Linked DNA regions of Mus musculus. The protein of the gene in region 6 purifies or fractionates together with the protein of the main gene of each other region. This does not show direct contact. Links are inferred from orthologs where the notes say so. Each region holds a gene or a part of one and is shown on either strand. Other genes may lie near its edges.

What was found.
Region 1: the proteins of Dnajc7 (region 6) and Pld2 purify together in Homo sapiens (affinity purification with mass spectrometry; 3 studies listed by BioGRID and IntAct, counting the BioPlex papers as one, with this or other methods). This does not show direct contact. The link is inferred for Mus musculus from reciprocal best matches to the Homo sapiens genes DNAJC7 and PLD2.
Region 2: the proteins of Dnajc7 (region 6) and Stub1 purify together in Homo sapiens (affinity purification with mass spectrometry; 3 studies listed by BioGRID and IntAct, with this or other methods). This does not show direct contact. The link is inferred for Mus musculus from reciprocal best matches to the Homo sapiens genes DNAJC7 and STUB1.
Region 3: the proteins of Dnajc7 (region 6) and Vps13b purify together in Homo sapiens (co-immunoprecipitation; 3 studies listed by BioGRID and IntAct, counting the BioPlex papers as one, with this or other methods). This does not show direct contact. The link is inferred for Mus musculus from reciprocal best matches to the Homo sapiens genes DNAJC7 and VPS13B.
Region 4: the proteins of Dnajc7 (region 6) and Vps13c purify together in Homo sapiens (co-immunoprecipitation; 4 studies listed by BioGRID and IntAct, counting the BioPlex papers as one, with this or other methods). This does not show direct contact. The link is inferred for Mus musculus from reciprocal best matches to the Homo sapiens genes DNAJC7 and VPS13C.
Region 5: the proteins of Dnajc7 (region 6) and Dnajb1 purify together in Homo sapiens (affinity purification with mass spectrometry; 3 studies listed by BioGRID and IntAct, with this or other methods). This does not show direct contact. The link is inferred for Mus musculus from reciprocal best matches to the Homo sapiens genes DNAJC7 and DNAJB1.
Region 7: the proteins of Dnajc7 (region 6) and 2610507B11Rik purify together in Homo sapiens (co-immunoprecipitation; 3 studies listed by BioGRID and IntAct, counting the BioPlex papers as one, with this or other methods). This does not show direct contact. The link is inferred for Mus musculus from reciprocal best matches to the Homo sapiens genes DNAJC7 and BLTP2.

Annotation. Positions count from the first base shown.
Region 1 is NC_000077.6:70,538,917-70,543,071, reverse strand, and holds the start of Pld2 (phospholipase D2), read right to left. Parts: upstream 2,801-4,155; 5' UTR 2,458-2,800; intron 2,228-2,457; 5' UTR 2,227-2,227; coding exon 2,118-2,226; intron 2,010-2,117; coding exon 1,879-2,009; intron 1,776-1,878; coding exon 1,633-1,775; intron 1,258-1,632; coding exon 1,152-1,257; intron 1,072-1,151; coding exon 1,006-1,071; intron 489-1,005; coding exon 430-488; intron 312-429; coding exon 219-311; intron 130-218; coding exon 1-129.
Region 2 is NC_000083.6:25,830,134-25,834,360, forward strand, and holds Stub1 (STIP1 homology and U box-containing protein 1), read right to left. Parts: upstream 2,787-4,227; 5' UTR 2,721-2,786; coding exon 2,559-2,720; intron 2,112-2,558; coding exon 1,913-2,111; intron 1,829-1,912; coding exon 1,663-1,828; exon of another isoform or gene 1,499-1,662; coding exon 1,411-1,498; exon of another isoform or gene 1,233-1,410; coding exon 1,176-1,232; exon of another isoform or gene 1,086-1,175; coding exon 969-1,085; exon of another isoform or gene 878-968; coding exon 752-877; 3' UTR 501-751; downstream 1-500. Other genes in the region: Jmjd8 (jmjC domain-containing protein 8 precursor), read left to right, coding at 6-73, 167-301, 377-457. UniProt on the Homo sapiens protein: E3 ubiquitin-protein ligase which targets misfolded chaperone substrates towards proteasomal degradation.
Region 3 is NC_000081.6:35,909,618-35,913,117, reverse strand, and holds part of Vps13b (vacuolar protein sorting-associated protein 13B), read right to left. Parts: intron 2,972-3,500; coding exon 2,169-2,971; intron 1-2,168. UniProt on the Homo sapiens protein: Mediates the transfer of lipids between membranes at organelle contact sites. Binds phosphatidylinositol 3-phosphate. Functions as a tethering factor in the slow endocytic recycling pathway, to assist traffic between early and recycling endosomes.
Region 4 is NC_000075.6:67,944,851-67,948,350, reverse strand, and holds part of Vps13c (vacuolar protein sorting-associated protein 13C), read right to left. Parts: intron 2,865-3,500; coding exon 2,715-2,864; intron 2,528-2,714; coding exon 2,263-2,527; intron 235-2,262; coding exon 74-234; intron 1-73. UniProt on the Homo sapiens protein: Mediates the transfer of lipids between membranes at organelle contact sites. Necessary for proper mitochondrial function and maintenance of mitochondrial transmembrane potential.
Region 5 is NC_000074.6:83,606,795-83,610,974, reverse strand, and holds the start of Dnajb1 (dnaJ homolog subfamily B member 1), read right to left. Parts: upstream 2,801-4,180; 5' UTR 2,644-2,800; coding exon 2,433-2,643; intron 2,428-2,432; exon of another isoform or gene 2,215-2,427; intron 1,162-2,214; coding exon 581-1,161; intron 387-580; coding exon 156-386; 3' UTR 1-155. UniProt on the Homo sapiens protein: Interacts with HSP70 and can stimulate its ATPase activity. Stimulates the association between HSC70 and HIP. Negatively regulates heat shock-induced HSF1 transcriptional activity during the attenuation and recovery phase period of the heat shock response.
Region 6 is NC_000077.6:100,582,318-100,585,472, forward strand, and holds the end of Dnajc7 (dnaJ homolog subfamily C member 7), read right to left. Parts: intron 2,739-3,155; coding exon 2,665-2,738; intron 2,382-2,664; coding exon 2,235-2,381; intron 2,047-2,234; coding exon 1,894-2,046; intron 1,340-1,893; coding exon 1,277-1,339; intron 820-1,276; coding exon 782-819; 3' UTR 501-781; downstream 1-500. UniProt on the Homo sapiens protein: Acts as a co-chaperone regulating the molecular chaperones HSP70 and HSP90 in folding of steroid receptors, such as the glucocorticoid receptor and the progesterone receptor.
Region 7 is NC_000077.6:78,278,754-78,282,253, forward strand, and holds part of 2610507B11Rik (protein KIAA0100 precursor), read left to right. Parts: intron 1-293; coding exon 294-451; intron 452-955; coding exon 956-1,162; intron 1,163-3,500. UniProt on the Homo sapiens protein: Tube-forming lipid transport protein which binds to phosphatidylinositols and affects phosphatidylinositol-4,5-bisphosphate (PtdIns-4,5-P2) distribution.

The DNA.
Region 1 (4,155 bases), about 30 Mb from region 6:
CCATACCGCGTCTCTGTGCTCCTTTTTCCGACCTGGACCTCAAAGCCAGGGTCAAAAAGCTGAACAAATGAGATGGCGCCGGTCTCCGGGCGCATGTACAGCAGGAAGGAGTCCTTCACCACCAGCCACCTGGAGCGGAAGGGCCGTGTGGTATCATCCAGGTCCTCCAGGTCTCCCTCTTCCTGCCCACTGATGCCTTAGCTCCAGCCCTTGCTCACCTCTTGGACCATCGATAACAAACTTGGTCTCGGCCACAGAAGGTGAAGCCGGGAACTCGATGCCCGCCCGAGCGCTTCCGGATCACCCCTTCCCTACAGGGACAAGCAAGATCATTGGGGACCCTAGGCACACTGTACCGAGTTTTATTTTCAAGCAGGAAGATGGAGACTTATGCCTGCTGAAGGCTGGGTAAGGAGTTCCCACACTCACAGTCCTTTGGAGCCAAGGTCTGGGATAAAGGAAAGTTGACTGACTTCCAGAAATTCTGTCTGCAGAGGAAGAAATAAGTTTAGGGGGAGACTTGGCTTTCAGCCTCCCCTGCCCTACTAACTCTGCACCCTTTGTCCCCTGGGGATCTGATGATCCTCATCTACTTCAAAAAACACAAGCATCCTAGGGTATGTTGGCACACACCTAATACCAGCACTTGGGAGCAGAGGCAGGTGTATCTAGGTCAGTTCAAGGCTAGCCTGGTCTACACAGAAAGTTTAAGGCTAGCCCAGGTTTTACAGTAAGACCCTGTTTTGTTTTGTTGTTAAGAATAAAAACAGGTGGGCTAGAGAGATGGCTCAGCAGTTAAGAGCACTGACTGCTCTTCCAGAGATCCTGAGTTCAAATCCCAGCAACCACATGGTGGCTCACAACCATCCCTAATGAGATCTGAAGCCCTCTTCTGGAGTGTCTGAAGACAGCTACAGTGTACTTACATATAATAAATAAATCTTTAATTAAAAAATAAAAACAGGAGGGAGAGAGAAGGATCCACCCAGGCATCCAGGACCTTACCATGGCGTGGTAATTGCGATAGAAAGACATGGTCAGGAGGCGGTTGAGGTAATTTTCCAAGTATTTCTGAAGGGAGACGGAAAAGAAACAGATGTAGCCAGAACCTTTTGCATACTGCACACCTTGCTACAGGACCTGCTGCATACCTGTTTGCTGGCTGTGTGTCTGGCAGAGCCCTCAGAACCTCCTCGGGGTAGGGAGGGTATATCCTCGGCGGCTGCCTCTCGGGCTGGAGAATGGGTCACAGCAAAGCTACAGAGATGAGAGAAGACTCAAGAAGGAGCTGGAGACGGGGCCTTGGAGGAAGAAAGGCTAGCAGAAGAAAGAAAGAAAGAAGAAAGGCAGAAGAAAGAAAGGGTCTCTGTCCTGGGAATGGAGACAACTGGGAGGAGGGGGTTGCTAAGGACAATTCTGGGCATCCAGCCTGGCTAAAATATTGGCACAGTACTATGGAGGAGATCCAAGCAGGGAAAGTTTCCTGGGAACCAGGGACAAGGGAGGGGGCACGGCACAGAGCTGAGGAAGGAAAATGCCCAGGGGATAAGAGTCAGACAGACAGGAGTGAGTGAGGCTGCCATGGGGTGAGAAGTACCTGCCTTTCACGGGAAGCAACCGAGTTCTACTCACCGAGCCAAAGGGAGCAGACTCATCAAGACTTTGTGTCTCTGGAGGTCCCGATGCAGCTCCTGAAAGTGTCGGAACTTCTTCTTGGTTGTCCAGGTAAAGTCACCATGCGTCAAGCGAACAGAATATAGAGTACAGGTTCCCACCTGGGGATATGAAAATCTAAAATATGTCTTCTGGCCCAACCCAGGCCTCCACTTGGGCCAGGACTCCCTCTCTCGCCTTCCCTGGTATCCGCTGGTGACTGACCTTGGATCCGCTGGTGTATCTTTCGGTGCCCACCACCTGGGCTATAACAGGGACCCCAGGGGCGAACACCAAGGGGTGTGCTTTCAGAGGCTGAAGGTCATAGATGGCCAGATAGGGATGCATTCGATCAGCTGGGAGGGGAAAAAAGCAAAACAAAAACAAAACAACCCAAGGGTGTAAAGATCTCAGGAGGCCTCAGATCCCTATCTCCCCTCTCTGGGAGCCATCTCCCTCTATACCTGGATCCTCTCCTTCCCTCAGAGTGTCAACCTCATCTGGCTCCATGTGCAACTGGCTGGAGTTCAGATAGTCCCCATAGGGAAAGAGGTTCTTCTGGGTTACAGTCATCCTAGGAATATGAGGAAGCCTCAGGAAGGGACTCGCCCTACAGAAACACCCCTTCCCCATCCAACGCCCCCGGTCGGTCCTCTCCCGTCTTACTCAGTGACTCTCAACGTCTAGGGTTGTAGACCGACGCCCCTCTAACACCCACCCCTGCAACCTCCATTCCCTCCCCCAGCCTTCAACCAGAGCCTCTCAGCCCCGCTTCTCATTCCAAATTCAGGTCCAAAAAAGCACCTAGCTAAGGTGGGATGGCCTCGAACTGGGGCGAGGTTAAGTCCAAGGGAGGAGCCCTGGTGACAGCGAGGCTCGAAGTCAGGTCAGACTGGCTGGAAGCAAGGGTCCGGGCGGGAATGAGGAAGTTGCGCGCTCCCCGCCCAGGAGAGAGATCCCGAAATCTGGACGAGCGGCTGAGTCAGAAGGCCGTTGCAGCTCCAGCCCGACAGCGTCCCCGCCCGGTTCCCGGGGCTCCGGACCTCAGCCGCGCCACGTCCCGGGCCCCCGCACCCTGGATGCGGACCCCGGCGCCCGTGCGGGTTCGCAAGCAGGCAGAACTCAGCCAGGAGCCTACACCCCAGAGGGCCGGGGCGGGGCCGGGGTTCAGAGCCTGCCCTCGGGGGGCGGGAAGGCCCCCAGGGCTCACCTCCACGACTGTCGCGTCGACTGGGTCCCGCCCCCGCCGTCCTCTGCCCGCCCTGCGTTAGAGACGCCCGGGCCCGGGCCGCCCACTCCGGAGGCCGCCCACTCCCCAGGGCTGTCTTCTTCCTCCAGCTGCCCTCGGGGCACCTGCTGGCTATGTCCAGCACCCCCCAGTGTGCGATCCACGTAGTGCACATTCCTCTACTGCGCGCGCGCGCGCGCGCGGCCATTGGGTAGTCTGGTCCCCAGCACTGCCTGGAATCCGGGCAGAACGGCCTGGGTTGCGAGGACCTGCAGATGTCCCCTTGGTGGGCCCGGTACAGATAGCCTTTGTTGATGGAAGGTAATAAGAGCATAAAAAGCCGAGTGACTGCCAAGTTCGTTGCTGTATGAGAAATCGCATTCTTCATTCTTGAAACGCTCTTTTAACGCAGGAGTGATTAGCCCGACACTGAGCGACAATAACAGACCAATTTCGGAACCTGGAACCTAATCGCCTGTAAATTTCAGTCTGGAAAAAACTTTTTTTCCCCAGATCCTAAAGGCTGTCCTTTTTTTCCCTTCCAAATTTCCGCTGAATCATCATTTGAATTGTTTTAGGTTTTGTTCACTGGAAATGAACCTCCAATAAACATTTATGTGCCAGTCATTTTTGTGGACTTATTATTTTAATTCCTCTTCTGTAAACAACTAGAGTGGAACTACTGGGTCATATAAGTGTATGTTTAACTTACTGTTTGCTGTCGAGGTCTGGGCTTGGCAGTTTGTAGCTCAGCAGCACAGAGAATTGGAGAGAGTATTGTGAAGCTTGGGCATTGAGACCAGCTGAGGCTACACAGCAAAACACTGCTGAAAAAACAAACCCCGGGGCTGGAGAGATGGCTCTGTGCATGAGCTGAGGACCTGAGTCTGATTCCTAGCACCCACATGGCTGCTCACCAAGCAGTCCCCAGGGGATCTGATGTTCTCTTCTTGCCTCTGTGGCCACTGCACACACAAAACATTTATACACACAAAGCCAAAATAGAGAAAACAATTAAATACAAAAACTTTCCAAAATGGCTCTTCTATTTTATATTTCTAAAAACCAGTGTATGGTACTTCTGTTGTAGCTGCTCCATAGCACGGTGCACATTCAATTCCATAGATCCTTCCTGTTATCCATTAGAGTGGTCTGAAAGGTTTACCACTGCAGTCTTAATTGTACATCTCTGAATATTAACAGCGTTAACTGTATTTCCTATTGTCTTAGTTAGGGTTTTACTGCTGTGAACAGACACCATGAAAGGCAACCCT
Region 2 (4,227 bases), on a different chromosome or scaffold from region 6:
CACAGGAGCTGGATCTGGGGTACCCTTCCACTGGCATGGGCCTGGTTTCTCAGAGGTTATCTATGGTCGGAAGGTCAGTACAGTGTTATGTGTGTGTTATGTGTGTGTGTAAATCTGGTGTCTATAGTCCATTGCACACATAGTGACCTTACACTCCTGCCTCCAGCGCTGGTTCCTCTACCCTCCTGAGAAGACACCTGAGTTCCACCCTAACAAGACCACATTGGCCTGGCTGCTGGAAATATACCCATCTCTAGCCCTGTCAGCACGGCCTCTAGAATGTACCATCCAGGCTGGTGAAGTCAGTAGCTGGTAGGTGGGGGTTGGGCTAACTCAAAAAGCCATGAATCAAAATTTTTTTTTTCTTTTCTCCCAGGTACTGTATTTTCCTGATCGGTGGTGGCATGCCACACTCAATCTGGACACCAGTGTCTTCATTTCTACCTTCCTTGGCTAGCCAGACAGGCAACTGGCAAGCCCACTGCACCAGCACATGCCAATGTAGTGCTCACAGACTTTATTACAGGACAGTGGCAGCAGCAGCAACCTCAGCCCACCCTCACCCACTCTCCAGCCCAGAAGGGGGACAAGGGAGGCTCATGGTCCAGCAAGGGGTATGCTGAGAAGGGGAGCAGTTCAGAACCCATCAGCAGGGCCGATGGGGGCAGGCCCAGGGACACAAACTATACAGGGACTGGAGCTTCCGTCTCCAGATCCTCCTGGGCCAGGGTGCCAGGCAGGACATGGGGCCTCAATAGTCCTCTACCCAGCCGTTCTCAGAGATGAAAGCGTCAATGACTTCCTTCATGGCCAAGTTGGGGATGAGCTGTTCCTGGGTCAGAGGGCTCCGGGTCACAGGGTCAAAGTGGCCCACACGCTGCAACAGAGTCAAGAGTGTTCAATGGCCTGAGTATACCGATCCGGGTACCAAGGCTCTCCATGGCCCGGTCTCCATGGGCCCTCCTTACCTGCAGGTGCTCCTCAATGTCCTTGCGGTCATAGGTGATACCACTGGGTGTAATGCAGGGTTCCCGCATCAGCTCAAAGCTAATCTTGCCACACAAGTAGTCAGGGATATCTCGCTTCTATAGCACAAGGGGAAAATGTCTAGAACTGGAGGGGGCTGTGGGGGTCACCATACCAGCAGCAGCCGATGAGCTTCCGGGGGTCCTCACCTTTCTTTTCTCGTCCACCTGAGAGAAGAGCTCATCCATATCTGCCATGTATTTATCCTGCAGAGTTGAGTGCCATGTGTGGGCAACTCCTGTCTCCACACAGACACACACACTCTGTCCACCAGGGCACTCATGTCATGCATGGGCCAACAGATCCACCAAAGGCTGGGGCACTTTTCATGCCACACACAAACACACACACAATGACCCACATGTGGACTAGGGGCACCCTCACGTGCTTGGCCTCAATGCAGGCCTGCTGGGCCCGGATGTGGCCATCATCTTCATGACCCTCGTGGTTCCGCTGACACTCCTCCAGTTCCCTGAGGGTTAACCAGAAGCTAGTTGGTGATGGCCCTGACCAGGAAATCACAGAGCCCGCCCCATCTCAGGCCTCTTTCCTCCTGGGCTTCCCATGTACCGGTTGTTGTCCTTCAATAAAAACACTTGTGCTGGTGACTCAGTGTCTGCTGGGGGAGGGACCCACCTCTCTCGCTCAGCAGCAATGAGCCTGGTGAGATATGAATGCAGCTCACTCTCCTGGTGGATGCGCCGTTCCTCGATACTGTTCCAGCGCTTCTTCTTAGCAATGCGAAGGGCACTAGGAATATCATCCCCAAAGTTGAGTCGCTGCTCCTTGGCCAAACTATAGGCTAGGGGAGTGGACACTTTTGGTTACACTTGTCAACAATCCTGGTCCCCCAAGGTGCCCTCAACCTTGCATCTTGTCAGCCCACCTCGCTGCAGATTGGCAATGGCCTCATCATAACTCTCCATCTCCAGCTGGCACTGCCCCAGGAAGAAGTGCGCCTTCACAGACTGCCCGTCCAGCTCCAGGGCTCGCCGGCAGTCAGCAAGTGCCTGTTCAGGCTGCTGCATCTTCAGATAGCACAGGGCCCGGTTAGTGTAGTACACTGCCACAAGTGGGTTCCGAGTCTGGGGACCAAGACCAGGCGTCAAAGAGTGTGGGCTCAGTTGATCCCCTCTCATTTAGCAAGCTGAAAGCCAATGATCTGGTCAATGCTCCAGCTTTGGGGGCCCATGGCTGGAATAGAGGAACTGGAGATTTCCGAATTATCAAGAGCTCTGGATTCTGGCCATGCTTTCTTGCCTCCAACTGCTTTTGAGAGAAATCCCACAACCCCTCTACAAGCTCTGGGCTTGGAAATCTCAAGGGGCAAGAGCTCCTGGTGTCATCCTTAGTCTTACTTAATCAAGCATCCCGCCCGCCAGTTCCCAGTCAAATCAGCCCTAGACTCGGGAACAGCAATCCGGGCACCAGGGGAGCGAGCGAGCCATCGAGTCCAGGCTGCCAGAAACCCTGTCCGGGATCACAAAACTGGGAGGCACATCGGGCCCCGCCCCCGCCCCTCCCGCACTCACGATGGCGCGGCCGTAGCAGGCCGCCGCCTCCGGGTACTTGCGGCCCACGAAGAGCCGGTTTCCCTGCTCCTTGAGCTCTTGCGCACTCGGGCTCTTATCAGGGCTGCCGCCGCCACCAGTGCCCAGCCGCGCGCCGCCCTCCTTTTCCTCCTTGCCCTTCATGGCGCCGCGCGGCACGGCTTGGGCTCCGCGCCCGGCCACCTAGATCTCGCAGCCCGCGCAGCGATCAGCTCCGCCCGGTCGGCGATCCGCCACCGGAACTTCCGGTGTGGGGCGGAGCTGGCATGGGGACACGTGAGCAAAGGCGGAGCCTCGTGGATTGAGCCAGTTCCCTTAGCTCTGAGAAGCTTCCGCCGCGCTCTACAGGCCCCGCCCTACAGTAACCGAGACCTACCCTGCTCAGACCAAGGCTCCGCCCATCGGCGCTCAAGCCCCGCCCTCCGGCCCCAAGCTGGGCGAACGTGGCAGCGGTCATTGAGAAGTGGCCTTCCGAGGGCCGGTCACTAGGCCCGGGTCCTAGCGCACCACCAGGGCACACACGGGCTCACGCGACAGCCTGGGAACGTCTGGACCGCCGGTAGGAAGGCGGAATTGAGGGTAGAAGAGAGGCCCGCAGATCAGACCGCTCTCGAGGGGCTTCCTCGGGAATCGGGAGGAGCTGCCTGCGGCCATTAATGGCTGAGAAACAAGCACGTGACACGCTGACACCGAAGGACCTTCTGCGGTTGCTATAGAAGTAGCTGCGGGTGCACGGCTGGACTCTTGCCCTTCTCGCGGTCATGGGGAGGAGCTTCTTCAAGGGCGGAGCCGGCTGGTTTCCTTGGAGAGCGCCTGCACCAAGACCCTTTGACCCCATGGTCTGTCGTTGAGGCATTTCTAGCCGCTGCTGCATCAGCTGTTGGCCGCTAACACCCCCAACCCCGGACTTGGAGAAGCAGAACTCGGCTTTCTGCTGATCTGGGCGCCGCAGTCAAACTTCGCTGCGTGGTTTCTGCCACTGCCTCGAGTGAGTAGGTAGCATCTTTGCCCAAGTTGGGTGGGGGCTCTAGGAGCTCAAAAAAAGCTATCCCCAGAACCTCCTTGTCACTCTTTGCAGTGGTCCTGGAGGCAGAGGTTTCTGGGGTTGCAGCTTTCATATACGAAGAGGCGGTGGCTACAGTTCCTAGCTTGCTAACCCTCCAGTACACACTCAAGCACTACTTGCTGTTTCTAGCCCAGGTGCAAGAGTTCACTGCCTTTCTGAGCGGGGCTGAGCGGGGCCTGAGAGGTCATCCAGGGCCCCATCATGGTTCTGGTGGTTAGTAACTTGACCCCAGAACCCTTGTGGACCTCACTAGTGAGTGTCTTAGAGTTGTAGACTCTTCGTCTTGTGCAAACTTGGGGGGCAGATGTATGCCCAGACCTGCTGCCTGACCTTCACCCTGACTGGGCCTCCCACAAGGACCTGCCAAGAATTACAGGACCCAGGCCAAGTGAACCTAGCTCTGTTGTGGGCTTGCGTTTGGAAGGGAGGCTGAAAGAACAGGAGATTGGAAGCTCTTGTAGCACAATAAACGATTGCTGAACTTGGACTGACCTGGAAGTCCACAGTTTCTTCCCAGGGGCCCCACCTCCTGTGGATTCCGGCCATGGCCAGGAGTAAAGCTACCACCTCAAGTCAGGTGCAGAG
Region 3 (3,500 bases), on a different chromosome or scaffold from region 6:
CCATCTGGCTGCTGAGAGTCCTTTCCTATTCTTCCTAACCATATGGAAGGTGTACCGCTGATCAGTAAATCTGTGATCAGTAAAGCCTGAAGCCACCAGAGGGCTGTTTGTGGATGGAGATTCCACTTGGTGGCATCCAGGCTAGACAAAAAGACAGAGAGTATACAAGGATGCTCTTTACTCTTTTCTCAGAGGTGAGTGAAGTGGCCTCAGCACCCAGCAGGCATGGGTTCCAGACTCGCCGTCGAGCTTTGGCCACCTGCACTACACTGACATTGCCTGAGTGTGTACTGCTGTATAGTGCACAAGCTGTGCCCAACGTGCTGCTGACTTTAAAATGTTTACTACTACTCCTAATTTATGTGGCTGTGGGTGTGCAAAGGTATACACCTGTGGCGGCTAGGGGACAACTTGTAAGTCCTTTCCTTCCACTCTTACCCACTCAACTGGACAGCGGCCATCTTGCTGGCCTATTTATTCTGCATATTTAAGGGATAAATGGCAAGAACACACATAATTCTTCAGTATTTTCAGGCTACAAGTAGTTGGATCTGCAGATGTGAACCCAAGGATGCAGAGGTTCATCTGCATATTTTTGGCTTAGTTGTTTGGAAATCTTGTGGGTGATCTGAGTCTATGAGAGTGGGAGCTGGAGGTAGGCAAGAACCTTGAGAAATTCTCAAGCCCACATTCCTCCCTTTGAATGGAGCTACTCATTTCTAGTTAGCAGTTATGGGTTTTTAAAGCCTCTTCAAATGACTCCACAGACTTCCCCAGAAATGAGGTCATGGTGTTTTAAGCATCCCAGCCAGGAACCTTGAGTCCAGTGGGTAAATGCAGCCCTAAGTGAGATGGACACAACCCACTCCCTCCTGGCTAGCCCTCATCCGTTCTCTACAGGAATGCTAGTCCATTCTCTTTGGGCCTGCCAGCCACCCTCCCCGTGGCCTTTCTATTTCTCAATGCTCCAATGACTTTTCTTTCAAGTAATATTCAGTTTTAGTGACAATGTTTTCAATTTCAATTTCAGCTTTGGTGTTAAAATTTCTTTCCTGCTGTATATTGAAAATGAGACAATCACAGGATTTCTAACTATAAGAAGGCCAGAGAGAATGTTCACATGAGATCCCTCAGTCCCAGTAAAACAAGGCAGTAGGTTTCGCACAAAGCCTATGGAGGCCATGGTTACCCGGGCACAGGTGGAATCTGTCCTTTAGGCCAGCTTCCTAGCTTGGTGTCAGCTGTGACCGCAGGGAGTCCTCCTCCTCTTTTGACCTCTGACTAAAGAGCTGATATATGTCAGTGTACCAGAAGGGTAAGTGTCTGGGGTACTTTACAGAGATATACATGTCTATTCAGTTTGAAATATTCCTCATTATTTTTAAATGGCTCCTTGCTAAGGAGTCATTTAATTTCTTCATTATTGTGCAAACTATCCAAACAACAGGTCATTTAAGGCTCTCAGCTGGAGGCTGTCCTTTTTTTTCTATGGTGCAGCCAACCTGTTCCTGATCTCTATGTATTTCATTATGGAGACGGTTTAATCTTACCCATGTAGCATGACTACTGGCCTCTTACTAATGGTAATACAGTCATTTGTTGCCACAGCCTGAATAGGCTATGGGAATTCATTCACCAAGAACAAGGTTATCTCGTGCAGGAACTCATCCTGAACAAAGCCAAGTGTGGATGCTGCTCTGATAACTGTTAGCACCTTGGGAGCAGGCTAGCACCCTCTATCTAAGACTGACCCTGAGTCAGGAACACATGCCCTACAGAGGATGACTGTCAAGTACCACAGGGAGCCCGATTTTCATGTTTGCACAGAATGCTCCTCACGGAAGATTCTGTACTCACATCAAACACTCCTTGTAGGCTCTTCCAGCCAGATGGGAAACAGAAGTCTTATTTCTCTCCTTGGTCCCTAGTGTAAACCATCCCATAGCCTTTAAAATCCACTTTACAGCTGAAGATGCAGGCTCAAGAGTTCGATATTCACCCAAGGTTTACACTGAACATTCAGATCTAGATCCAGTTCTGTTAGCTGTGGCCCTATCACCCAGGCCTACCTGCTTTCCCGTGTGTTGTGTAACAGACAGCCCCCTGCCACAATGGACCACTTCTGTCCAGGTGCTAGCCCGCCACAGACCCTTCCCTTGCATCCTCACCTGCTCTGAAAAGAGCCCCAGCAGCATAGTGCATGGCCAGTGCGTGCACCAGCTGCCTTGCTGTGGTGAACACTGGTCCTCTTTCAAACACAGAGAAGGAGAGAGGGGTGTGGTCGGAGGCTATGTACAGCTTCAGGGAGGCATGGATGCTGATGAGCAGGTTCACTGGCTGGATGAGCAGCTTCCGTAACTTCACTGCGTTCACCAATGCCTTGGCGTGCTGTGTCACCTGCACAGGCAGCACCTGCTGCCCTGTGAACAGCTGTGCATGGTGACCAGACATCCTGCTGGGAGGAAGGTAGGTGTCAAACAAAGTTTTGATGTAGTAAACAAAGGTGTCCTCCACATACAGCCGTGCTGGCTTCAGTTCAAAGGTGAACTCGCTGACATCGAGGAGGATGTCCTTCCCCTCAGAGACAGTGAGGCAAAGTTTGATGAAGCAATTCTCCTTGTATTCTTCCAAGGCTTTGCTGGAGACCAGGAGACTCTGCACCCTGGAATACTGAGCAGGGTCTGTTCTCTCTCCTTGGCAGACCAAGACAGCAAAATGGAAATTAGACTTGTTATAAAGCTGGTTGTCCAGCTGCAGGTCTCCGCAGTAGACTTCCACACCGTAAAGCTGGAAGAAGCTGGAGGGAGGCTCTTCCCCTGGGAGGAGAGCAGGCACAGGAGACACGTGGAGGAAAACATTGTCCAGGGTGAGCCTTAGCAGTTCCGATGGTGCCTGGTGTGTGAGGTCGTCAGACACTGCCAGGCTCAACTGGGTGATGAACATCCTGAAAGTGACCATCCTCTCCAGAGCTCTAGAGAAAGGGCAAAGCTTGTTAGTGTCTCTGGTTCCTTTCTTATTTCTGTTTTAGGACAGACTCTCATAACAAGGAAGAACTCAACACGTCTGGACAGAGCTAGCTACACTTGATGATTATTGGGAAATATTCCCACTGGGACTACTACAAGCACTTGTCATGTTTCTTTATGTGTTTTTTTTTCTCCAAACTCTTCATTTTATACACTAATTATCTATTATGATGATCATGGCAAAAAGAGAAATAACACTCCTTATATTAAAAAAGATGAGCTGAGCAGAAAAAGAGAGGTCAGCATGTCCCTATCAGCCCTGCACACGGCATGTACCTATCTGTACTGCACACGGCATGTACCTATCATCCCTGCACACAGCATGTACCTATCATCCCTGCACACAGCATGTACCTATCAGCCCTGCACACGGCATGTACCTATCAGCCCTGCACACAGCATGTACCTATCTGTATTGCACACGGCATGTACCTATCATCCCTGCACACAGCATGTACCTATCAGCCCTGCACA
Region 4 (3,500 bases), on a different chromosome or scaffold from region 6:
ACCTCCCAATCTCAGCTAAATGACTGACCTCTGCCTAGCACCCACAAGGGGACACATTCCCTGACAGCATTACCTGCAGAGGTGAGCGAAGAGTGACAACCTTATTGCCTTCTGTTGCGTCAATCTGCACCAACACGGAATCCGAATGGCTGGCACTGGGGTTCCGCACATTATACAATCGTCGGCCAGGCCTGGCGACAGGAACACTAGCTACTTCTGTATAACCATATGGTACTGAAGAGAAGAGAAGTAAAAATATTTACCTTTCAATAATAACCAACCCTGGACCTGGAGAGATGGCTCAACAGTTATGGGCACATGTTGCTCTTGCTGAGGACCTGGGTTTGAGTCCCAGCACCCATATGGCCCTCACAACCATCTGTAATACCAGTGATAGGGTTAATACAGTGATCCGAGGTCCTCTTTTGGCCTCGAAGGACCCTGGGCATGCATATGGTACACAGACATACATGTATACAAAATACCATAAAATAAATAACAAATAAAATAGTAACACCTCACAATTAATAGCAAGGATATGTTTTCTCATCATTAGAAATATAAATGTTTTCCTAAGACTCTGAGATTAAAAAAAAGAAAAATAATAACTAATATAAAACTTTTGCTACAAGCAATGAGAAGGTAAGTGTGCTAAGACAAATAGAAAAAAAAATCATCCTGAGAGAGGTAACCCAGGCCCAGAAAGACGAAACTGGTGTATACTCAAGTGTAAGTGGGTATAAGTCATAAAGCACTGGGTATCTATGCTATAAACCACAGACCCAAAGAAGCTCAGTAACAAGGAGGGCCTAGGGAGGAGATGCTTGAATCTCACTGAGAAGGCAAAATAGAAAAGACACTGGGTATGGATAAAGGGAGAGGACTGGCTGGGGGAGGGGTAGGAATGGGAACAGCAGGAATAAGGTAGGTGGAGAAGGAAGGGAGAGAGAGAGTACTGAGAGAGACCTCTGGACTAGGGAGGGGGCACATCTTCGGAACAAGCTAGAAACTTGGACAATGGAAACTCCTAGAAATCTTTGAGAGTAGCCCTAGCTAAGACTGCAAGCAATGAGGGATGCGCAGCCTGAACCGGCCATCTCCTGTAACCAGGCAAGACTTCCAATGGAGAGATTAGGACACTAACACAGGCACAAAACCTTAGACCCACGATCTGTCCTGACTACAAGATGTGCAGGGGTAAAAGATGGAGCAGAATTTGAGGGAAAACCAATGACTGGGCCAGCTTAAGACCCATACCATGGGAGAGAGCCAAGCCCTGACAATATTAACAACAGTCTGCTACACTTGCAGATAGGAGCCTAGCAACTGATGGAAACTGATGCACAGACCCACAGCCAAACATTAGGCAGAGCTTGGGGATCCCTAAGGAAGAGGGCAAGGAAGGATTGTGGAACTAGAGGGGTTAAGGACACCAGAAAAAAAAAAAACTACAGAATCAGCTAACATCTACAAAATAGGGGCTCACAGGAACTGCAATGCCAACCAGAGAGCATGCCTAGGATGGACCTATGCCCTCTGCACATACGCAACAGTAGTTGTGCGGCCTGGTCTTCATATGGGACTCCTAAAGCGGGAGCAGGGGCTGCATCTGACAACATGTTAGATAATCCCTTGTCCCTAGCATGGCTGTCCTAGCTCAGTACAAGATGGGTATAGTCTTACTGCAAGGTGATATGCCAAAGTTGGTTGCTATCCAGGGGAGGCCTCCCTTTTCTGAGGAGGAGAGGGGAAGGGCAGATGGCCGGGGAGCTGAGGTGAGAGGGAGGGACTAGGAGCAAAGGAAGGAGGGGAAGCTGCAACCAAGATGTAAAGTAAATAAATAATGAATAAAAATATTGAGCATACAAATTAAAACAAAGTAAAATAAAAATTCAACTTTTTAAATTATTCTTTCAACTAGATAATAATTTCCTTGTCTTTGTAATGGTATCATTACCATGAATACCTTAGACTTCTGAGTATGGCCACTTTTCTCCCTTAACTGAATGTTCATCCTTTTTGAAACATAATGCTTATTTCTTAGGGCATAGAAATTAATAATCATGTTTTATAAGGTGCTTATTAATTAGAGTCTATCTTATGTTTAGAAGAAATCCAGAGGAGAATTATCAACTATTTATTGGAAACCTGGACAAATGTCTCCCAGGATATCTTTGGCGAAATAGTATTGGCTGACTTATCAAAACTGCGCTGTGCCATCCCTGCGAAGCTCTGAAAACACAGCAAGCGCAGCAACCATACCAAAGGTCAGTGTGAAGAGCGAGCTCTCCTGCCGGCTCAGGATGGACAGCTTCCCTTGGCGCGAAGGTTCCAGGCTGGCGTAGTCCAGCTCCAAGTGCTGACCAGCGCCCACGTCATAAATGTCACTCTTCTCAGGGGAGCCCATGACCTTGAGGTTACGATTGGGCTGCACCTTCATGGGGACACCCAGCGCATTTTTGACTGTAAAAGGAGCCCTGTCTTTCAGAGAGTAGTCAAACGTAGAAGCCGCTCCCTCGGAGAAACCCTGCAAAGGAACACAGCCCAGTAAGACCTCAGCGATGCACCTCTATGAGCACTTTACCATGGCTACATGCTTTCTGAAATTTATTTTGATGACAAAAACAAAAAACAAAAAAAACACACAAAAAAAATCTATACATGCTTCTTTCCTAAACACAACATGAAATATTCCACACTAGAATACCACATACTTTTGCTAAATTGCTGAAAACATTAAGACAGCTTTTGGATATTGTGATATTCATCGTAGCTCCTGAAGAAATATGAACTGCTGTTTGTGGCTCAGGAATAAAGTCATCTCCTGGCATCAAACTTTTATCCTGGATCGGGTTTTTCTTTACCTAGGAAGACAAACAGCGTACAGAATTGATCAGCCAACGAATCAATGGCAGCAATTAAAAGCTCTACCTGGAGGGATCCAGCTGAACTGGATATCTTAGAATACAGATCCTCAGGGTTTCATTTTCAACCACATGCACACCTCTCTGACTCAGCAAAGAATGGTAGCCTTCTCTCTGCACATAGGTCATGAATAGGAAATGCTCAGTACACTGCCGAGGAAGCCTGACAAGTCAGCCCCACCATTTGACTCCTTGCCAGAGCAAGCGAGCTCCTACAACAGTTCTGTGTTAATTAGCAATGAAGGTGACTCCAACTCTCCACTGACCCTGGCTATAGTCATCTGGAAATAAAAGGACTCTTCCTACTACTTCTTGGTAAATAATATGGTAAGCTTTCGGATCAAACTTATTCCAGATAACATTCACATTTTCATTCCAATAGCATTTCGAAACCTTTGCTAAATATTCTTTTTCAGTCTCATTATTCCAGAGAGAGGTAGACAGATATCATCTCTACTTTAGTCAGAAGGAATTGGGTTACAAGGTTAGTGATGGCGCACGGCTTTAATCCCAGCACTTGGGAGGCAGAGGCAGGTGGATTTCTGAGTTCGAGGCCAGCCTGGTCTACAGAGTGAG
Region 5 (4,180 bases), on a different chromosome or scaffold from region 6:
GTGCGCGACTTTGAAAGATTGTAATATATTCTGTGGAAAACATTCGGCAGAGCAAAAGCCCTCCCTGGGCCCTCCCGCAGTATGCAACCAGTGGAACGGTCTGGAGATCTGCAGCTCTGAAAGCCCCTGGCTCAGTCCTTGAGGAGTGCAGGTGGCTATATGGGAAGAACCTGCTCCAGGATGGTTCTGGATGAGACGGGAATCCTTTCCGGGAAGATCACTTCAAACTCGATAACAAGGTCTCCACGTTTCTCAGGTGTTTTGGGGAGAGGGAGGCCTTCTCCAGGGACTTTCCGCCGCATACCAGGCCTGATGACATCTTTGAATACAACAGGGATGGTCCTGCCGTCCAGAGTAGGGACATTCACAGTGCAACCACAGAGAGCCTAGGGAAGCAAAAGGACAGTGTCAGGCAGTGGCTGGCTTAGGAGCTTCACTCCTCCAGACCGTCCGGAGAAGGGTCAGGTCTACCAGACCAGGCCCGCTGACACCCCACTCCAAAGCCCCCCCAACCCCACAACCCATTATTCTCACAGCAGCCATCTCTTTTTATGACTCCTCCACCCACCTAGCACCTTACCTCCCGAAGGCTAATCCTGGCTGGATAGATGACATCAGAACCATCTCTCTTGAAGATATTGTGTGGCTTGTCCTTTAAAACAAAGACGATGTCTGCTGGAATGTTGTTCGAGGTCTGGTCCCCTTCCTTGGGAAAGGTGATTTTGGTCCCTTCTTTCCAGCCCCTCTTCACTTCGATGGTCAGGATCTTATCTTCATTTCGAATGCTCTTTCCATCAGGGTTCAGCCGCTTGTGGGAGATTTTCATCTTCTTGGTACAGCCGCTGTAGATCTCTTCAAGGGAGACCCGAAGGTCATGGGTGACTGGAGGATCTTGCTTCTTCCGGGTGGGCTCTTGAGAAGGGCGGGAACGTCCAAAGTTCATGTTGGTGAAGCCACCCATACCCATTGGAAAGCTAGAGAATGTGTCATCAATGTCCATGCCTTCTTCCCCGTTGCGCTGCCCAAAAAAGGTATCAAAGGGGTTTCTGCCACCGAAGAACTCAGCAAACATGGCATGGGGGTCTCCGTGGAATGTGTAGCTGAAAGAGGTACCATTAGCACCACCACTGCTTCCTCCACTGGGGCTACCACCCTTCAGGCCTGGAAACCAAAACCACAAGTCAGGGTTACTGCTGGAGAGTCAGCCCCACCTCCCTCCACCCCCAACACTTCAACACACTTATAAAACATAAAACCCCTGAAACAAAGAGCTCAGAACCCCAGCACTCTCAAGACAAGTGCAGACTGATCTCTGCAAGTTCCAGACAAGCCAGAGCTCCACCATGAGGTGCTGGAGAAATGGCTCAGAGCACTGGCTCATCTGGCAGAAGAACCAAGTTCAATTTCCAACACCTACATAGCAGCAGACCATGGTCTAACTCTAGTTCCGGGACCTTTAATGCCCTCTTCTCTAGAAGCATGTGAATGGTATACACATATACACGGAGGCACACGCTCAAATAAATTGAAAAACAAAGTTCCAGCAACAGTGAGGTCCTGTCTCAAATAAATGGTCACATTTTGTTCCTTTTGCATGTATTACTGTCAATGCCACGTAACACACAAACTTTCGTCCAGAGTAGCCTCAAGGCAATCCTCCTGACTCAAATACCCCAGAGGGGGGATTGTCACAACATCCGGTTCCTTTGGAAACAGGAGCTTATTACCCTGTAGCTCTGATTTGAAGCAAATTCACAGCGTTCCTAATTCGGTTTCCCATGTGGAGGTGTGAGCCCCCGCACTCTGCTCAACAAGTTTTGCTCTTAGTAAAAAGGCCACAGGAACTATAGCGGGAGGGATTTTATGTATATATTAAAAAGCTTGTTAGTCAAGGACGAATCTCAAGTCTTTTAACTCCCAATGGCAATAGGAGCAAGAAACACACTACTCCGTTTTACTTCCTGACAACATATTCGGTAGTAAGGCCTCTAGATCTCGGTGCGACCAGGTTTACGTGACTGCTCCATCCTCCCAGCTATGCTGTTACCATCTTACAGAGAAGCTCCTACGCACTGTTACCAAAAAGGCTCAACCCTGGGTGAGCGAACACTGAGCTTGCGGCTAGGAAAGAGAATCAATACTCGGGCAATTTTCATTCCCATCGCGACCGCCGCCCTCCATCTGCACCATTCCGGCGCTGTGCAGGCGACCGACCGGGAGGGGCTGCGGCAGACGTGCTAGAAGCTTCTGTGCCAGCGGCGCGCCCAGAGCTCCTCCTCCTGTCTGAGGCCGCGGATCAGAGGGTGAAGGAGGCGGCGCCGCCGCTAGATCCCCGGAATGCCTGTCCCCGGCCGAGGTCTTGGAGAGGCTCCGAGTGCCTCGGTTTCCCCGCCTGTCAAACGGCGGGTCACCCCGGCCGCGCGCACACGTACCTTCCTCTCCATAGCGGTCGAAAATCTCGCGCTTGCGCGGGTCGCTGAGCACGTCGTAGGCCTCGGCGATCTCCTTGAACTTCTCCTCAGCGCCGGGCTCCTTGTTCTTGTCCGGGTGGTAGCGCAGCGCCTGGCGGCGGTAGGCTCGCTTGATCTCGTCGTCGGACGCGCCGCGGGCCAGGCCCAGCGTCTGATAGTAGTCCTTGCCCATGGCCACCGCCGCCCAGCTGTCGCCGCCTCCGGCTCCGCTGCTGCCCCGTCCCGGACTCTATATACCCGTCCGGCGGAAGCTTCCAGATCCCGCCAGCCCTCCAGAACCTTCCGCCCCTCCCGATGCGCCGCACGACACCGGCCAATCGCTGCGGCCCGCTCCGTGACGCAGCACATCCGGGGTGGGACCCGGCTGCCAACGGCTTTCCGCGCGGGGCCACGCCCCTTCCCTCTCTACTCTGGTCAACGCCTTCCTCGGGCGCGCGCGCCGGCTGCTGGGGTTCCGCCTCCGTAGCGGATCCAGCCAATCGCAACCCTCTCTCTCTCTGCGGACAGGTGGAGGCGCGAAGAGGGGCGGGGCTACAGAGACGGGCCTCTCCGAAAGGCCGCACCCTTTCCCCCAGGTTATCGCCGGCTGGGAGGTTCTGCTGCGTGACTTGTGGTAGCTACCTGACAAGTACCTCTAAGCTTTCCTGCTCTAACCCAGGGATAAAAATAGGCACCCCGCCCTCTTCTGCCCGTAGCCCTTGGTTTTTCCCGTAAGGCCGTTACTGTAAAGCGAGGTGAGACTGGTCTGCCTTGGGCTTGCTGCAGTCGGGCTGCCTCTCCGGTTTATCTTACTTCCTACTAATTCCTACTGGGTTTAGCTCGCCTCTTGGCGTTCTGATACTTGTCACTTCCTTTGCCGTCTGAGTTTACCACCAGGGCTGCGTGATTTTTTTAAAGATCCACTGGGTGCTTCGTAAATATTTCCAAATACTTTGATATAGTATAGCTTTTTGCTTTTGGTTTTGTAAGTCTGGGATGATGGCGGTCAAGGACGGAGCTGAGTGAGGAAGAGGAGAGAGCTTCAGATATTGGAAGGCATAGAGAAGCTGGAATAGTCATTGGTGGTTCTTGCAGGGAATGGGACTGCCTGAAAGTGCATGAAAGACTGACTCTCATCCTAGCACTTTCTGGCTGTGTGACCTTGGGTTGGTAGAGTAGCTTTTCTGGTCTCAGTGTGGTCATCTGTACAAAGGGAATGGTCGTGGAATATGGTGAAGTTGACATTATTCTGCATTTGTTAAAGACAAGGGACAAAGGGTGTTCTTGAAAGAGATGATTAATCATCTTGTTTAGTGGACAACTGTTGACATTCCCTTTCTGGAAGCTCTGTAGGAGGAGAGTCAGATAACCCTTGCCCTAGGCACCCCTGAGAAAAATGACTTTAGCCTTCCGTTAATGGTATAGCTGTGTGTGGTGTATGTGTTTTGATTTTCCTAACTGTACTGACCCCATGAAAACCGAACCAGTTGAGCCCTGCCCCCCGCCTCCCCATGGATTTGGAGCTAGGGAACACTTGTAGAGAAAGTGTCTTTAAAGGTACAGAGACAGAGATAGTGAGCTGGCAGTGGTGGTGCATGCCTTTAATCCCAGCACTTGGGAGGCAGAGACAGGCGGATTTCTGAGTTCGAGGCCAGCCTGGTCTACAAAGTGAGTTCCAGGATAGCCAGGGCTATACAGAGAAACCCTGTCTCGAAAAAAAACAAAAACAA
Region 6 (3,155 bases):
TTTCCAACAGTTTGAGCCTTAAGCCAGCAAAGGCCCGAGACCAGGAGCTGCCTGCCATGCTTTGAAAGAGCAGAATTTTTTTGTTTTTTTTCGAGACAGGGTTTCTCTGTGTAGCCCTGGCTGTCCCAGAATTCACTCTGTAGACCAGGCTAGCCTTGAACTCAGAAATCCACCTGCCTCTGCCTCCCAAGTGCTGGGATTAAAAACATGCACCACCACTGGCAGGCAGGAGCAGAATTTTGTCCTCTTGTCCATATCCCTCAAGCTCCAGTGCCCTGCTATAGGAGCCGGACAGTGTGGTGACTTATACCTTAATCCCAGCACTGGAGAGGGCTGAGGCAGGAGGACTGCTCTAGCCTGAGCCTACATAGTGAGAAAACACACACACACACACACACACACACACACACACACACACACACACACTCATACAACACCTGGTGCCTATGCTCTTGGAAGAACCTCAGGTACAGAGCAGCTGCCAAAGCCAAGGACCAAAGAACGGTCAAAACATTTTATTCTTTTTCTTTTTTAATAAAGTTAAACAATACAACAAAAATTCACAAGCTGCCTGCTTCCCTGTCTACCCCTGGCTTCCCTCCCTCCCTAGTCCTCAGCACTGGCCCCCTTTCCTTCACCCCTCATACAGACACAGGGCACCCGACTGAGAAAACGAAACTGCTCTAAGTACACAGGGACATGATGGAGGAAGTGAACTGTCCACACTCATGGTTAAACCAAGCAAGTCTGCATTTTCTGGGTTTTAAGTAGTTGGCCTTCATTAGCCAAACTGAAAGTAGAAATTCCCTGGGCCAGATGCTGAAAGGAAAAAGAAAGGCTTGTTAGTTGGCTCTGTGGTTTTCTTAGGAAAACCACTGTTGTTATACCAAAGTCTTAAAGAGCAGCTTAATCCAAACAGAGACTCCAAGGGTATCAGGCAGTCTAAGCCTAGAGCACAAGGGCCAGCATGCAGGGTGAGCGCCCTACCACTGGGCTGAAGCGCACTTTGTGTGTAGCTTCTCAACACCCCTGCTCTTATGGAGAAGGCATGACACTACGGGGCTTGGGGATGCTTCTCTGACTTTGCTAACTGCACTGAGAATGGTCCCAAGAAAAATAAACCCAGGAGCCTCATCAGCCACACGAGCATAGACACCTGTCCTGCTGAACAAGGATCCAGCTGTCTCCACTCAGATTCCCCAGGTGCTGCTGAGTGAGGGGCCAGTGCTGGTCTGTCACCTGGGAGCTCCTAAGAGCGAGCAGCAGGCAAACCTACCTTCAAAGCTGAAGCCCCCAGGACCACCGAAGAATGCCTTGAAGATGTTGTTTGCATCAAAATCTGGTAATTAGGAAGGAAAGGGCAAAAAAGGGGGAAATCAGAAAGATCTGAGGAACCTGATGCAGAAGACTTCTGAGGCTCACTCTGCTCTTCCATTTCAGCCTAGATGTTAGCAAGCCTCTCCCCATGTCAGCCAGGCAGAACCTGCTGACCCTGCTTCTGGGATCTGTGCCCTTCCGGGTGAAGTCTAGAAGGGAAGCTTCCCCTGCCTCCGAGTGGGCTTCTTACCTAGCTAGGAACGCCATCTGCATCTGCCCTCCTATAATGCTGGGGCCGTGCTGAGAAGGCTCAAATTCAGTGTTACCAAAGCCACTGTACCAGTCCTGGAGACCCTGACGCTTTAGTCCAGGTCACAACAGTTCTGATGGCTCCTGCCCTAGCTCATTTTTTTTTAACAGCCTATTTATTGGCTTATGTCGCTGGCTGAGTACTTGTAGACCTCCCCTCTGGGGTGTCCCAACCCAGCTGCCCCGAGGGCAGAAGCCTTGGTAACTTCAATGGGGGCTTTTCTGGTACAGGGACCATTTTCATTGTAGATGCCCAAACCAACTCACCGCCCATATTCATGCCCTCCTCATCCAAGTCCTGTCCACTGTCATAACGAGTCTTTTTCTTGGGATCAGAGAGGATGGTAAAGGCCTCTCCCACTTCCTTAAACTTCTTCTCCTCCTCCTTCTGAACTTCGGCACTGGCCCCACTGTGCCGATCTAGAGGATTCAGTGAAACCAGGGACACAGGAAAACAAAGTCTATTATTGTCCAAGTTTGGAATGTGGCACCTCCCACAGCCTGTAGGACAGGGAGTCCAGCACCCCCTCCTTCCCACTGAAGAGCGATCTCCTGGGTGCCCACTGCATCTGCGCTGTGGGCTCTGCTGCACCTCCTCCAGCGCTCACCTGGATGGTGCATCAAGGCCCGTTTCCGGTAAGCTTTCTTGATCTCGTCCTCAGAGGCATTCTTGTCCACTCCCAGGATCTTGTAGTAATCTTTCCTCTTGCTCTTCTTCAGTTCCAGCTGTGCATTCTTAAGGAGCTGTTTGTGTTCTGGAGGGAGAAAGGCAGCATCAACAGACAGCCCAGCTGCCTGCCTAAGGGGTAGAAACTTTGGTAACCACAACAGGGACTCTTTTGGTGCTTTCTTCTGAATATATAGGAAGTGAGACTAACAGGGAGGAGACAGAGCCAGAACACAGGTGCCTGAGCCCCTCCCAGGAACTGCTGGCTTCCAGGCTAGTGAGCAAATGGAATGGTCCTAAGTGCTGCGACCAACAACCGAGAAGACCACAGCCCCCCCGAGCAACACGTCTCTGCCCCTTTGTCCTCGTACCTTTTGTTTTCTCCGTCTGATACACTTTTTCATAGTCCCGCACGGCTTCTTCAAACTGCTCTGTGTCCATGTAACTGAGAAGGAAGTACAGGGTAATACAGCACTCAGACATAAATAGTAACGGCCTGTGGGACCTTCTAGGGAGAAGGTATGGCTCATGCAAGAGATACACACTTTTGGTAGGATGTTTCATCAAACAGCAGAATCCCTTATCTAAAGAAGATGAATGAACTCTCAGTGCCTCAAGGCTGGCATTGCACCCAGTCAGCAGTCCCCTGCTCTAAGCAGGCAAGGGCTAAGGAGGAGTTCTCGGTGTCACAGCGCTGCCCAACAGCAAAGACACTGTGACAGCACCTACTTGACTGCTCTGAACAAGAGAAAAATGACCATGTGAGACAAACTGCTGTGAAAGAGCTTTGACACCTTCCGTGCCAGACATGCAGGGCCAGTTCCAACCAAGGCTACAAGTGGGGTTAGTTGAGCCACTAGAA
Region 7 (3,500 bases), about 22 Mb from region 6:
CCATTGTCTGGATGTGGACCCTAGGAACAAAAATAACACCATTTAAACTGGTATTTCTATTTTTATTGGAAATCGTTCACTTTTATTTTTAGTAACACTGAGGGGAACTAAATAGCTTTTATCTTATCCTTTGGGTCAAGGGTTGGATAGAGTGAACTGCACCCGTGTTCCAGGTTGAAGATGTAGCTCAGTCCTTACCTAGACAGGAAGTAATAGAAGCTCAGTGTGGTCCTGCATGTGTTCTCCTTCCCTTCGAGACGCTGACCTTTCCCCATTTCCGATTTCCTTGCCAGGTGCTTACATGTTGCAGAAGCTGATTGAAGAGACAGACAGATTTGTAGTATTCACAGAAGAGGAATCCGGTATGAGTGACCAATTGTGTGGCATTGCTGCCTGCCAGACAGATGACATATACAACCGAAACTGCCTTATTGAGCTGGTTAACTGCCAGGTATCTTTTTTTAATAGGAAACCAGTACGAAGATAGATCCCAAATAAAAATGTTTACTTCCCTATCATTTTTTTAAAAATACAAAAAAAAAATTAGGATTCTACAAGTTGGATGTGGCGGCTCACACCTTTAACCCAAGGAAGGCTCTTGGGAGGCAGAGCCAGGGGGAATCTTTGAGTTTGAAGACAATATAGTGAGACCCTGCCTCAAAAAGGGGGGCTGGGAGGGGGTCCCACTGTGTGGCTCAGGCTGGTCTCAAACTTGGCTGTCTTTGCCTTGGTTTCCTGAGTGCTGAGGGCTTGTTATTGCTAAACTCAATGTTTCTCCACGTATAACTGAAGAATGGGTGGCGAGAACTCAGCTTTGTACCTTTCTGTAGGTTTCCTGAGTAACACTTCCACGTATAAAACCCAATAAAGCTTGCTCTGTAAGCTAGAGTTAGCAGTGATCTGAATACCCTTCTCAGCCCCCTTTGTGTCTAAAACTGCATTTCTCTTGACATAGATGGTTCTTCGTGGAGCAGAGACAGAAGGCTGTGTCATTGTATCGGCTGCCAAAGCTCAGTTGCTGCAGTGCCAACACCATCCAGCTTGGTATGGTGACACACTGAAACAAAAGACTTCCTGGACTTGCCTGTTAGATGGCATGCAGTATTTTGCCACCACTGAAAGCAGCCCTACTGAACAGGATGGCCGACAGCTCTGGTTAGAGGTTAGTCAGCCTGGGTGGGGAGGTCCATTGTATATCTCTAGTTTTCTATAGTTGGCCCCTTCAACTAGAACCACTGGGAGATTCTTCATAGTACCTACCTTTCTGCTTAGTAGGAAAGGAAGCTGCTGATACCGTGACTGTGAGCAGCCTCTGTGCTGTAGGAACTAGTGCTTTTCTCTCCTGTGGCACTGTTACATTTACCAGCACTAGAGTAAGTAGACAGGAACTTTTTCCTTTTTTAGTTTGTAGTCCCTTAATAAACGTCACACAAACAGGCAACTAAGGAAATAGACAATGGATCTGAGAACTTTTTTTGTCAGTTTGAGACAAGTCTTGCTATGCAGTTTGGTCTCAGGCCCAGGTAGCCTGGAACTGGAGATCCCTTTGCCTTAGCATCTGTAGTGCAGGAAACGTGTCACATGGCTAGCCAAGGGTTTGTTTTTTTGTTTTTTGTTTTTTTTTCATAGCCTTTCATAAAGATGATTGTTTCAGCAATCATTGTTTTTTGTTTTTCAAGATAGGGTTTCTCTGTGTATCCCTGGCTGTCCTGGAACTTGCTATGTAGACTAGACTGACCTCAAACTCAGATATACACCTGCCTCTGTCTCCCAAGTCCTGGGGTTAAGGGCATGTGCTACCACCAACTGGCTAAGGTAGAACATTTTAATTTCTAAGATAGGCTCTTAGACTTACCGGAGGGTTGATGATCATGAGGCATATCAGGCTAGTGTTGTATATTATCATTTATATATTTGACATGTGGTAAGTGTGCACATAAATTAAAGGATTCAGTTATATCTGATAAAAAAACAATAAAAAACATGAATGATGATAATAAAATGAACCAGAGTGATAACCTCTTTTGTAGATCTTCTTGTCCCTGGCTAGAATGTCTGCAAAGGAACTTCTGGTTCAGTCAAGGCAACCTCAAGTGTAATGATGCCAGACACAGATGAACATTTAGATCAGATGTCAAGCCGAGTATGGCCAGGTTAGGTCACATAGGAAGTTAACCAACCATGTCTATTACTAGTATTCTTGGGGGTAGTCACAGAAAGTATCTTAGCTGGAGTTCTGGCTCAGTGGTAACACTTGATTATTATGCATAAGGCCCTGGGTTTGATCCCCATAACCACCAAAGAAATAGGGATGTAGGAGTGGTAATTATCTATGTAAAGGTGGGCAGAAGTTTCTGGGCATTTATAAGCAATGCCACCTTTTATAGTTGAAGGCTTTTTTCCCTCCCCTAAGTTGCATTAGCATTAAAGTGGAGAGATCCTTAGAGTTAGAATATGATTTTTCTCTTCCCCAGGTGACTTTGTGATTCAGTAGATCCGTCATCCAAATCCTGGATCTCTAAAATATTCGTGTGTGTCATTTATATATTTTTTTTGTAAGTTTTTTTTTTTTTAAATGTGTTTGTGAGTCTGCCATGTATGTATAAGTGCCCTCAAGAACCAGAAGAGGGTGTCAGGTCTAAAACTAATTACAGGTGATTGTGAGCTGCCATATAAGTGCTGGGAACTAAATCTGGGTCCTCTGCAAGAAGAGCAAGTGCTTCTAACTGCGAGTCATCTCCAGCCCCTAAAGCCTTATTTATGTTTATTTATTTTTAATATGTATGGGTACTTTGCCTGCGTGTATGTCTGTGTATCCAATGTATGCTTGGTGCCTGCAGAGGCTAGAAGAAAGTGTTAGATCTTATGAGACTTAGAATTACAAGAAGTTGTTAGATGTCCAGTTGATGCTGGGAATAGAACCTTCATCTTTTGGAAGAGCAGTCCGTGAGTGTTCGTAACCACTGAAACATGTCTCCAGTCCTGAAGCCTTGATCTTACTGCTTTGATTTTTCATGCCATTCATTCTGTTAGTTACCCTGATCTCCAAAGTGACAATATCAGAATGGTTTTCTTTTTAAGTAGGTGTATGTATAAGTGAGCATGTGATGTGTGTGCAATAAATATGTGCCTGTGCATTCCCAGAGGCCACAGGAACGGGCATTAAACGTCTATCATGTTGTGCCTTATTCCCTTGAGACAGGGTCTTTCATTGAAATTGGAGCTAGGCTGGGATTTAGCATGCTCCAAAATGTTTCTGTCTCTACCTTCCATAGAACTGGGATTACAGGAATGGGTGGCCTTCCCTGGATTTTTACATTGGTACTGAGGATTTAAACTCAGGCCCTATTATGTATGTATGAGAGAGATCTGTTGTTTTTAGAGGTTAAAAGATAATAGTTTTGTGGAGTCAATTCTCCCACTTTTTAATGTGTGACTGCCTAAATGTCTGTATATCATCTGCATGCCCTCTGACACCAGAAGGAGGGTGTCAGATCCCT